Linked DNA regions of Drosophila melanogaster. The main gene of each other region encodes a partner of the protein of the gene in region 2 in a complex. Each region holds a gene or a part of one and is shown on either strand. Other genes may lie near its edges.

What was found.
Region 1: the proteins of DIP-theta (region 2) and dpr2 are in contact, whole or in part, in a crystal structure (PDB 6EG1), measured with the Drosophila melanogaster proteins. Residues at the interface, in NP_723103.1 of Drosophila melanogaster: Lys160, Ile161, Ala162, Leu164, Val166, Thr168, Gln169, Thr170, Ile171, Ile174, Ile179, Thr180, Lys181, Asn182, Met211, Gln213, Ile214, Asn215, Thr216, Asp217, Met219; in NP_001014480.4 of Drosophila melanogaster: Asp135, Lys136, Ser139, Ile141, Lys143, Asp145, Leu146, His147, Ile148, Ala151, Leu154, Thr155, Tyr156, Ser158, Asp159, Glu189, Gln191, Asn193, Glu195, Lys197.

Annotation. Positions count from the first base shown.
Region 1 is NT_033779.5:10,960,550-10,967,124, forward strand, and holds the start of dpr2 (defective proboscis extension response 2), read right to left. Parts: upstream 3,605-6,575; 5' UTR 2,677-3,604; intron 819-2,676; 5' UTR 676-818; coding exon 537-675; intron 1-536. Other genes in the region: Tmem214 (transmembrane protein 214), read right to left, coding at 5,056-5,170, 5,243-5,361, 5,444-5,860.
Region 2 is NT_033779.5:5,654,323-5,660,910, forward strand, and holds the start of DIP-theta (Dpr-interacting protein theta), read right to left. Parts: upstream 4,239-6,588; 5' UTR 4,073-4,238; intron 1-4,072.

The DNA.
Region 1 (6,575 bases), 5.3 Mb from region 2:
CACTCTGCTCTTGGCCATGATTTAATTAAAGTCTACATGTGCTAAGTAGATTTTATTCTTTGCTCGCTCATTTGGTTTATTTGCCTATTTTTTCGCCCTAGTTTTCTGTTTCGCCTGCTGGCCATAATTGATTTAGGCATTTACTGCATTAGGCCAAAAAAAAAAGGCGCTCATACACTGGGAATGAAGTCAGGAAGAGGAAAGATACCATATTTGATTTATCAAGGAAACTAAGTCATTTCTCAATAGTGACTTTTCTGGATATATATTATGCTATTTACCGTCTGCCTCATACGAAATGAAGTCAACTAATTAACTTGTGCCTCCTCCTTGATAGTCAATTTTGGCTTACAATTGTGATTAGTAAATACGTATATGATATGTAAAATTTTAATAAACTTAACTACGGCCGTTGGTCATTGTTAATTTATAGCACATACATTCATAATTCATATCTTAGAGATGGTATTGAAATATGCTTTTATATGTGCACTATTAAATTGAACATGTGTGAATTGCGAGTGAGATCTACTTACACAACGATTTGACTGCAGGATGTTGTTGGATGGCAGGACTCAAGTGTTGTTGTTGCATTGTCCAAGCTCTCGAAATGCTTATCATTATTACGAGGATTGGCGTTGCGATGCAACCGAAGCATTTTCCCTCCATAGCCATGGTCCTGCGAGCCGGATCTTACTTATTTATATTTATTCACCTCAATGGCGGTTAGATGAGTGTAATTTAGCCCCACAAGTTTACGTATTTTGGTTTACATTACTGCTAATGGTTTGGTTCCTAAATCGTTTTTGAAGTGCATTCTATAAAGAGAGGGAGGAAACATTTTCATTAACGCTATTATTTGTGAAATATTCATGAAAAGCACTTGAAATGAATTAATTTGAATTATTGCAGCCATTCATTGCACTGCTGCCTAACTTAACATAAATCATTGAAAAATTATAAAAGTGTTTTTTTTTTTTTTGTGACAAGAATATAATTAAATAGTTATATTTTTTTGCAAATTCTAAAGGATTCAAGCCATATATAGCCAAGTTTATAGTTGGGGTATGTGAAAAACCAATTTCGTCCATCGAATTCCATGTTCGTACAGCATTTAACTGAAGCAAACATTGATATTAACCGTAGGCCTTCATTATAAATGTCCTTCATTCACATCATTTATCCTGTATCAAATTGCAACGGCATTAATTTATTTTTACATTTTCGGAATGTTTACGTTTGTATTTGTTAAGCCCTCATATATTGTCTGTAGTGGCAAGTTGCTTATCGCCACCATGTCACAGGAGCAGTTTTAACCAACGCAATTTGTATATTTACAACCCGCAAGCCGCACTCAAATAGTTTTTTATTTGGCCATAAAACACATAAATTGTGCAACTGAAAGGTGTAGCCTTGATCACTCACGAAATGTGCAAGGGTCAAAAACCAATTAAAATGTTAATTTCTCCACAAACTGCGCTTTGTTTCACGTTACAATCGTGCTCCACGAACGATCCAAGAGATATTGTATTCAATAAATATCGATTCCATGCCCTTCGACCCACCCTTCAGTTATCATTACCACAGCACTTAAATGATTTCAACCGTTGCTGGAGTTGTGTAATGAGTTGTTGTTTGTTGCGATGCCAATCAAACAATGGTGGTAAAATTAACATGGAATCAGCTTAAAATGCGCACTGCAATTGTTATTTTCATGGCATCGTTGGTTAATTGAATTTAGTGGTTTTGGATATGTATTGTTACTTTTTGGATAATTTAATGCCAAACTTTCATCGCGATAATGATGCATTTATAATTTTAGGCTAGTCCATTTTAAGTGCCACAAGTACAGTCTGCTGTTAATTAATGATATATATTGTACTTCTATGGCAGAGTCACTCAAATTCAACTAAGCCCACTTATCAAATTTAGCAACTGGCTTTTGTCTTCCGTTGTGTACTTCAGGCATAAATGCAAGTTAATTAAGCAAACCTGGTTGCACATTAATCACCTGGACACCCGGCCAAAAAGCCACAAAAGCACCTGGAGACCACTTGATCTTTAAGGAGAAAAGTCAAGGCATAAAGCTCGAAAGAAAATTCAATTAGAAAAACACGAAAGGCGGCCAAAAGAGCGAGGAAAACGGTTCGATTTCAATGTCTTCTTTTTTTGGGGGCTGTCCCCGGACATATGTATATACTGCTATTCCCTATTCAAGCCATTCTTTATAAGGTTATAAGATTAATGAGAGACAAGCTCATCTAATACTATTCCCTCAAGCGGCACTTAATTAATGCCACATGCAAAGAGTCCTGCGAGGTCCTTGGCCTTTGTCGAGTCCTTTTAAAGGCAGCTGGCAAATTGTCCAAGAAGTTTTCCTTAAAATTTTTTTTACTGTCGTACTTAACGAGTTTTTACTAAAACAAGGTCGGCCTTTTGCCTTTTTGCTTAAATATTAAATGTAATTATACTTTATTATATAGTATAATATGTGCAAAAAATGCTTTAAATCAAAGCCAGTGCTAACAAATGGATGTGTACATGTTTGCAAAAGTTTTAAAAGTCCAAAACTACACCAATTATTGACTGTCTGTGGAAAGTTTATTTATTGACGGAACAACTTTGACCTTTCCGCATCACCTCATTAACTTTTTTGTGGTTTAGTGAATTAATTACCTTTCCTACTTCATATCACCACAAGAACTCATTAGAAATGAGGACTCACTTCAAAGTCAATCCGTAACACACGTGCTCATTAGGTACATATTTCCGATTTTTCATTCTGCCCTGGATTTCAGAGGAAAAATGCGAGTGAACTTCAAAAGCAGATAAGGCGAAGAAGAACTTGGAAAAACTTCCATCTCAACTTGGAAAAACTTTGATTTAACATTTATTTTTGCACGAAACTCTTGGTTGTTGTTTATGCAACTGTCTGGAGTTTCAGTTGAAGTCTGTAAAAAATGTGTTTTGTTTTCTGTGTTTCAATCCTATCGCTAAGCGTATAATTTGCAAGAAACCTGAGTAACAAATGCATTTTCGATTGGCATTAAATCACGTCGCCCGTCCGAGTTCATTTCCGATGAGAAATAAATGTTTTTCTCTGATTTATCTGTGCTCCACTTTTCGAGGAGGGAAAATCGAGCCACATTGAATGCGAAAGAGCAGTGTGGGTGGGTTAATATTAATGTACTTAAAGCTGTTATTCGACTCAATTTTGGTGTCAGCAGCAGCAGGGCGAATATTTCCCATGAATTTAACCATTTAAACATCCAATGTTAGTTTTTAACAGACAATTAATTCAGGGGACAATATCTTTCACTGGCCGCATAAAGCGGCCTCCAATTCGAAACTTCACTTTTGCCTCAAGAGCATTATACACTGAGCGAAATCGAAGCCGAACGATCTTAGTGTCGTCTCGCGCACAAGTTGAAAAAACAGATGCGGCAGTTGGGAAAGTTGGGAAACCGCGACACCGCTATCGAATGCGGCAACTACGAGATATCCTTTCGTGGCCAGGACCACAATCTGCGATAAGGACTCGTAGTCACATCCGCGCCAAAGGACGAAACACGTGCGCCGCGACTTGAAATTCATTTGATACTGCGGCATCCGAGGCCGGAGCTTTTCCGTATTGTTGTTTCCTCCGCGCTGCAAGTAATCGTTCCGATGTGAACCGAGTCCTGCCAGCCACGAACAGGACGACGAGTTGGTTGTTATTGTCACTCCCGCACTCCGAAAACGGGTGACTTTGCGGCGAATTCGGGAAAATCCTTGTATTTGAAGGGGCGACTGTCTCCAAGATGAACGTCTAAAAGGGAAATTTTGCGGGGAGAATTTAAGCAACTATAATGAGAACCCTACTTTGTTGTACCAATTAGGAAAAGATTCTATCCAATCATGCCATTTCATGAAGATACCAAAGCTTATAAATATTTTAGAAATATAATTAAAACTTCTTCAACTTTAAAGGTGTTATTTTTCAAATACGCAACAATTTTTTGTTGTTTGCACTGCTTTGAATTATGATACACTGCTTAGGAATTTCTCTTCACTGCTTATATGGGTAACAAAAACCTAGGGAAATTTTAGTTCTTGGACTGCTTGCAAAACATTTGAACTGCTTAGTTTCGAGAGAACTGTTCTAGAAAAATTGCCCAGGAAATATTACTGATCTAAATTCTAGTCTCTTTTGGGAAATAAAAACTGCTTTCAAGCCGCTTTTCCAATTTAAACAAGTGTGTAGTGCAAGCCATGCTGCCAATGCCAACAGGTGTGTTCAGAATCTTACGATTCATCAATATGCCCCCAAAAACATAATCAAGCACAGAAAAACATTGAGAAATACGCCTTTACTTCACATCTTTCAATTTTATTTTATTTATGCAAAATCGTGTTTTCCATTAAATATACAAATGAGATTTAAAATCAAATCAAAAGTATCGCGCTATTATGCAAGTATTGGGGAGGAGTCTACAGAAATGTACACACAAATGCAAGAAAACTATGAATAAAAGTATAAAAATATTTGAATCTATTGTTTGCCTTCAAAATGCAGTTGGAATTGTTAAGTTCAGTTAACACAATAGAGTTAACACTTCGCGCATCGCCACAAAAAACGCACTTTAATAATTACAATTACAAAATTTCAATGGTAGAACTTTTCACAAAACTCTCATGCCGTTGTAAACGAATTTAAAAATAATGTTTTCTCAACTTGGAGAAAAATGTTTAAACACATGTTTTACAACAGAAAATTTCTCGTGTCTTTCACTAATTTATCAGTATCGAGGTTGAATTTACTAGATTGTTAGTGTACTATCGGCATCCACAAAGATTTGCTCGTATTGCTTTTTCTTAATTAAACTTGACGAGAAGTTGTTGATAAATGTGAATGACTTCTTGAGTTTCGACTTATAGAACATTTTCCGGTTTTTTAACTTTTTGCGAAAAATTAGGGCTTCCTTCACTATTTACTATGACGCGTATTCTGTTTGCATCTGCTGCAGCTGCTGATGATGTTGCTGTTCGAGAAGTAAGCGTTCCTGACGCTTAAAATCATTTGAGCTTGGCGTATGCGTCGACCTTTTTGTGAAACTGGTTGTAGTACTCCAGGGCGGCGTTACGCGTCTGGTTCAGCGCCTGATTGATGTTCTCGGGCGAGAGACGGCCACTAAACAAAGATCACAATCATAAGGGATGCATTCTCAAAGACAACAAAGGCCAGGCAGGCAGGCATACTTACACAAGCACCTTTTCCTTGATGAGCGCTGCAGCCTTTTCATAGCTGCTGGCGGCTAAATCGCTAACGCCAGCGGCAAAAGCTTCGATTTTGCCAGACGAATTGGGCACGTATTGGTCAATCTAAAATATAGATGGAACGTATTATTAATTCAAAACTGGTTTGCCCATGACCTCATCTTCATGGCGACTAAAAGACACTTACGAACTTTGCCACAACGGGCCATTTGGCGCCAAAGTATCCCTTGCCGTTCTGGTAAGCGTTGCAGGCCGCATTCCTCGCCAGCTTCCACAGGTCACAGGTGGTCTTGATCACCGGCTCGGCGTACGGCGGCACATTCACTTCCGCCCACTTGTAGCCCCGCGCTCCGGCCCCCATGACCGTGTACCAGGACTTCTGGACATGCGGCAGGACTCCGGCATTTTTCAGCACCTTGCCGGTGGCCGATTTCTCGAACACGCCCTTGCCGTTCACCTCGGTATCGTAGTACAGAGCTCCGGCAATCAGGGCGATGATGAAGATGCTACCCAAGGTCCACTTGCAGCATCCGCATTTCTTTTTTTCTGCCGCGGCCTTCTGTTTGTTCTTCTTCTGCTGCGCGCTGCTCTTCTCTTGGACGCTCTACATAGTACAAAATTAGAAAATTATTAAGAATCTTAATTGCTGGGGATAGTTGATATTGTGGAATCATTTGATTGAGTTCAATTTTTTACCTTTTTGGCGGCCGGCACTGGTTTGCCGCTCTGTTTGTTACTTTTCGGTTTAACCTGAGCCATTTTCTAACTTAATTTCAATGAGTTTCGATTATGAAGAGTATTTCTAGATTTCCTCAGCTGTTCGCAAAAGATGTTTAATTATTTATTGTGTTTATCATTGCAATTGTGTTTGCTAAAAAGAATGACGAGACTTTTTGAGCTTTTAAACTGAGCTTTTTTTGCGACTGAGCTCGATGACCTAAGATTTAAGAGTAAGCTAAAACCGCGAGTGAGGATGGGGATAATTAAAAATTGGAAATACGTAGTTATAATACCATTTTGTCCAGATTAAAAACATTTATATTCAATATGCAGGCTATGCTTAATTGGTGTAGATACTTTTTTTTCAATTTTTAGGAACACTTGTATAGGTTTTGCACAAATTTAATGAAGAAAACATGTATTCATTCATTGTGATGGTCTTCAAAATTAGATATATTTACTAATTACTTTAAACGTTGAAAATGAATGAACTAATGAACTAAATACATTAGTCATAATGATTATGAAAAAATGTAATCTTTTTTAAATTTGTTACTTTCACCATTATTTAAAAATAACACACCTTGTCTCTAAATTAA
Region 2 (6,588 bases):
TGGGATATGGAGACCCATCTGCTGCTCCCAAGGCATTTCGGCCCGGCCAAGTCGTAATGATAAATAGCCGGACAGAGAAAAAAGGAATGCCAAATAGGTAAGCCAATGGGCAATGCAAACTTGGCATTTTTGGCCAAGTATAAAGTCAAGGCAATTGACACCTTCTCGATGAGATGCGTCATTAACATTTCCATTTGATGGCTGGCGGCAGTCGCCTTACCTTCCACCGTTCTCATTTGGCTCGTTGTGTGGCAGCCTTTGTTTTGGCCAAGTCCCCGAACCGTCTCGTTTTGTTTCGTTCTGTTTATCGCCAGCTGTCAATCGTTAAATGACAAACAAAGAAATGCGGCCAGCAATTTGCAGCCAGCCAAATGGCGTCTATGATTTCCAACTGTCAATGACAGTTGCTAATCCACGGCATTCCTGCTGTCTCGGGCTTTTGCGCTGTCTTGCTTCGGAAATGAAATAATAAATGATATCTCCCTCTGGACTCTGCATTTTTGTGCCCGCCAATCGTAAAGAGTGGGGTATATTGTGCAAAGGGTATAAAAGGTATAATGAAAGCAGCTTACATTTTTGCAATGCATATTTAAGCATACCCATCATATTAAGCTTTGCCAGCACTGAGACAGGAAAATCCAGTTTAGTATTGCTATTGTACTTATGCTACTTGTGAAACGCATAAGAATTAATAAGTTATTCGCCAATAAGCTAACAAAAAAGTAGGTATCCAATAGTCGAGACAATCGCGAGTGACAGCTTTTCGTGCTTAATATACATATACCCAAAGCTAGTTTTTCGCTCAGTTCCGTCTGCATCCATATTTTCCTCAATTTCTTTTCTTTGTGAATTTTCCTCTTATCCGCATTCTTTCCGTGTTTTATTTGACATTCTCTTTTTGAAAGCGTTTTGCTACTTTCGCGTGTCAAAAACTGCAGCAGAATGCCAAATAAAAGGCTTGTTTATGTCACCTGAAATGGTGGTGGGGATTTTGTGCTTTTCCTTTTTTTTTGCAGCTTGGTGACTGTCGCTGGTAATATGCAGAAAATGTATTAAATTAAGCTTAAACTTTTATAGCGTTTGGTGCCAATCAAAATCTGCTCGGATTGCAGATGAATTGGAATATTTATCTTTTCGACGCGACATTTCTTGGTCATCCTATTATGAAGACTTACAGCTATTCGTTACGAAAAATTCTTGTGGCTTGAAAATCAATAAATATGCAAGTAAAGGAAATATTTTTTTCTGGTTTTAGGCAACCAGCAAGGGTAGTCGAAACTTTTGAGAAATTGCGAAACGTCATTTATCTATTGTAAAAGGAGAAAATGAGTACTTGGGCTATGAGTGCTTCTTGGCCCTCGGTTTAATTAGAGCCACATCCACTGGGAGCGTTTACATCATTTGCCATAATTCATCTGTCCACTGACTGCCAGCTGCTGTTGTGCATCGCTCGAAATAAAAATCAAATCACAGAGCCGTCCATCTTGGCTGTCAGTTGCCATGATGCTTGCTTGTTTTTCCTTGCCTTGTCTCTTCTCAGCTGGGAAATTTCTTTTAATATAACAAGCCATGCGAAATGCGTACACAAAAAGATGGCAAAATGCTTGCTCCAACGCCCGCTCACACTAACTAGCCACAAGCAGCATTTCCCACTGACATGCAGCTTGTGCATTTTCCCCGTCTTGCATTTGATTAACCTACAAAAAGGCGTTTGGACGTGCGATGCAGTTCGCACAGTGGGCGTTCCTGTTTGTTGCTGCGGTTTCTGGGCTTTTCTTAACGGGCAACTTTAATAAAAAAAACGGTCAGCGGGGGACGGGATGCAGCTGCAGCGGGGGAAAATGCATAAATGCATAAAAAATTGGCCAGCTTACAAGCCGCTTTACATATGCAACATGGGCGCCTGCTGTGCGGGTGTGTGGGTGTGCGGAAGTGCATTGGCACACATATACTTGTACGAGCACACATTGTTGCAAGCAGACATTTTTCCGACACGTGTTTGCTTTCCCGCACTTCCGTTTCCGCCGAGCCATTGATGTGACTTTCCGTCATTTTGTGGGAGAACGAGCTGCTTTTCCGACGCCTTGCCAGCCCCTCAAAGACTTAATTATTTTTCACCAAATAATTAATCAGAGTGAAATGGGAAACTAACAAAATCGGACAGGATGGTGAGACCGACCCCATTTACTCTTGTGATGAAATTTCGAAACTTTGGTAAAACACTTTTTGGCCCTGTGCGAAAGTATGCTGTGAACTATTGCAGCCACCTGAAAGCATTCACGCATATTCGTATGTGTGCGCGTGTGTGTGTGGCCAAGCGTTTGCGCTCGTTTGTGTTTTGTGGGTTGGCCATGCATTTCCGGTTTTAATGATTATAACACAATCAAGTGCATATTGCCTAATTAGCGATCCCCAGCAGCAAGCGCCGTCCAGGCCGCATAAAGTGCATAAAATATTTCCCGCACTCGCTGCGGGCGCTTCATCCGCATGTGCATATGCATGTGTTAGTGTTCGCTCGCGTGCGCTAGTGTGTGTGAGTGCTCGCATATTTTATGTCGCTTATTGGACGGCCATCCACAACGAGCTGTGCATCTATAGTATGTATGTGCATGTATATGCTTCTAGCAGCTAAATTTCATATTCATGTTGTTTATACGGCTTCCGTTTTGGGTGCGTGTGCGAAAATATTGTGTGTAATTGTGCGGTCGGCTACCCGTTTTATTTGATAATTGTGCACAAAACTCCCCACCTATTCATTAGCGCTGACGAACAGCGCCCCACAAATTTGTAGACACAACAAAGGCAAACTGTTATTCCATTTTCCCCCCCAAAGTCTGACACTTGACGCGAGCTCCCAATAATTTAGTTAAAGCTCGTCCTTGGGTGATTTTCGTCCTGCACTTCAAACTGTTTTCGGGCTACAAGTGAAGTAAAGTTATCAAAAAAGTTTGCTGATACCAAGTATTCGACGTTTCGCAAACTTTTCTGAATTATATGTGTATATACGAAAGTAGTGAATGCATATAATAAAGGATAAACGTTGCTTAAGAAATCATGTTGCATGGAACTTAATTTGTTAAGCACATCATTCAGGCTTGAATATTTTTAGCTAGCAATGGCAATGCTAGAAGTCAAAGGAATTGTAATAATAATAAATCGCTATTTTGTTTATGTTGATAACGAGAAGGATATTTTAGGATACTAATATACAAAATACAAAGACAAAATATCCTAGGGGTTTCAAATCATAGAATTGGGCAGAGCTAACAAGTTATTAAGGCATAAAAACCAAATATATATATATAAATATATATATATATGTATCCTTTTGCCATTAATGTTAACCTTTATTGTATACAATAATTGTTTTTCTGACCCTGTTGTTTAAGTTTTCCTTTCATCAATATAAAAGCTTTTTTCCTTTTTTCTTAGATTTATTACGCGTTTTATAACAAACCGCTGCTGTAATGTGACACGGCTTTATGTTGTCAACCACTTTCGAAAGTAATTCATTTTTTTTCAAACAAAATTTCATAATTTCGTTGCGTTCTGTTTGATCATAATCCTGTTTTGAAACGACATTTTTTGTTGATGCTGCGCTTTGCGGGCCACTTTTAATTGCAATAATTAAATGTCAAATTAAATCCTAAATTCCTCGGTGGAATTAATTCAATTGGCGTGACAGTCAAAGTGAAATAACGAATAAAATACCACAATTTCCCAGCGCCGCTAGGGCCCTTCTATAAATGCCGTTTGCAGGCTCTACCAGCCGAGAGAAATGCTGTGATTGTTTTTCCGCAAGTCGGCACTCCTCTTTCATTTTTTTTCGCCAGCCATTTAATGAGCCACGCTCGACTTGCCGCCAAGAATGCAATCAACAGGGGAGGGGAGCGGAGAATGCACGGGTATGCACCAGGACCTTAGTACCCAGCAAGGAGCCAGGACCGGCACAATTTGCGTTAAGCGGGCTGTGAAAAATGAAGTACCAAATTGAAGTTGGCAGCCAGCGTCTCCGGTTGTGTCTTGCACTTATTTATTTATTTAATTCTGGCCATTCCTTCCGCTTACGTACAGTGCTGAGCTATTGTCCTCCGATGATATCGCAGGCACTCGCGACTCGCGGCATTCAATTCAAGCGAGGGACGAAACGCGAGCGCGTCGACTTTCGACACCAACGTGTTAAGAGCTGCGAACTGGTGCGACCGTCAGCGTTGCGCACTAAAACCATACTAAACTAATTTGCTTAGCAGGACGCACTGATTACACAAAGTCCTCGAAGGGCGATAATCGCCGTCATTCGTCACGACTGTCGACTACCGAGCGCTCTTCGGCTCGGAGTTCGTGGAGTTCGGCAAGCACTCGCGAACTTGCCGAAGCGAGCCGAACTCCAAAGGCAAAGAGAACCAGGTCCCGTTAGAGAGCAACAGAGCCAGAGCTCTGTTAGCTGGTTAACAGTGCTGTGGCAGGATAAGAAACCATTGTTGGGGCATCGAAGTCGACCCTTATAGCAGCAAACTATTCTTCCTATTTGGTGGGCTTAAATCTACAATGCAACTTCCAAATAGACCAAACGACTCATATCCTGGCATACTGATTTTTAGAGCTCTTTCCACTAATTTATCGATTTAAATGCAAAAATTTCGTGCCATCTAGCCCGGCATTCCCCAATGATGACCGAGCTTTCAATCATTTAAAATTCCCCAAATACACACACACACGCGGAACACACTCTTCCCTCATCAATGCAAAAATCAAACATTATTTATGCAAATTACAAGCCATTATTATTTAAGCCAACAACCACAAAGGCAGTAATAGTGGGCAAGTACGAGGAGGGGAAAGGGAAACTCCGACCAACAATCATATCCGTCATAGTCATAAAGCCAGGGACCAGGGGACAGCGGGGCCTGCCAATGCTTTGGGGAACCAATTTGGCAGCCGGCATAAATAAATTTTTACTTAATGTAGGTCAGTAATGTGCGCTTCGGTCTCTCTTACCCAAGGCTTCTCTCTTCGGCAAGCGGTGCTCTTTAGAGCGTTCTCTCTTCGGACGCAGCGCCGTGAAATATGCTACTAAAGTTGCTTCTTTTCCGGCTGCGTGTGTGTAGGTGCTCGGGAAATGCCATCAAGCATCAAAGGACCGGGTATGCTTGCATAATGCAAACAGCCAATGATATTGCCATGATTCGTTGAATAATTTCAATTCCAGCTTTCAAGTTGCACACACCAGTAGTCGGTAATTGGTATTAAATAGTTGGGTAGTTAAAAATTTGATGTCATAAAAATAATAAATGCTATTTAGTTATTTGGTAGGAAATCTTCATAAATTCTTAGCTTTCTTCTAAATTCAAAGGTGAAAAGTAAACGCTAGTAGCACAAATTTTTTAGTGTTAAGATATTTTTCGAACATAAAACAATTGCATCTGAATACCTTCGAATAAGCACTGACGCTAACACGATGAATAGCTGAGTGATATCCATCCTAAGTAAAGTTGCATTTGCCAGGGGCTGCATAAATAAATTAGGATACCGAAACTGAGCCAACCGTCTAAACTTCAAAACTCACTTGGTTTCCCATGGATTTTTGCGTAAGTTTAGCTCTACTCACAGTAGACTGCTACAGTCTCCCCCTTCATTCCCTTTAAACAGATCCTGAGACCCACACAAAATCGTCTCCTTGTAACGCATCCTGCAACGCAAGTTGCTCGAAATTTATGTACAAACTCACTTAGGCAAGAATGTTTATGCGTTTTGTACGTGTTGGTTACTGTCGCTCATGTGGGTAGCATCCTCCACATCCTTACCTTGCGCCATCTCATTCCAGCGATCCCACTCGTTTATTTTGGCATTTCTACGAATTTTTTGGGGAAATTTTGTAATGCTGTTCTATGTCCTGAATGTTGTCTCCGGGGAGAAGAAGTGGCCAAGGGGGAAAATGCCTTCTCACGCACACCGAGAAGTGTTATGAAATTTTTCTTCTCTAATGACCTAAATGCAAAGGAATTTCATCTAGCATTTGAGCTAATTGCTATTGCATTGCGTACCATTTAAGTTTCCGTAAATTAAGCTAACAGTCATTGCCTAGGACACGTTAAGTAACAAGTTAGGGCACAGTCCTTGGCACTCAAAGTAGCCACATTTAAATTTCTCTAATTCTTCCTAAGGGGTCATGCCAAAAGCTTTACCGTAAAGAAGAGTCGTCCTTCACGCCTCGACAATTTGAGCATTTTTCCTTCGCAGACTGTTTCCCTTGATCACTTCGGCTGTAAACTATACTTGGCAGTTGCATGAGGGCCAATTATCTGGCACCTCGAGCGGCGGTTTCATTCCAGCTATTTACATATAATTAGCGCCCAACTGGCAGACCGTTGCATCGTTTTTCGCCACTCTCGTTCTCCGTATTTGCACAACGCAGTTTTTGTGCATTTCTTTGTAGTTTCCCACTCCAACTTTCCCTTCAAGACTCTTTGCCAACTTTGACAATGAAGTTGCAACGATGACAACCCCAACAAACTGGAGCGAGTGAAAATATGTAGAAGAGCTTTCAACTGGAGTCGATCAAAAGTTACCCTGCTCAATCGACCCAAT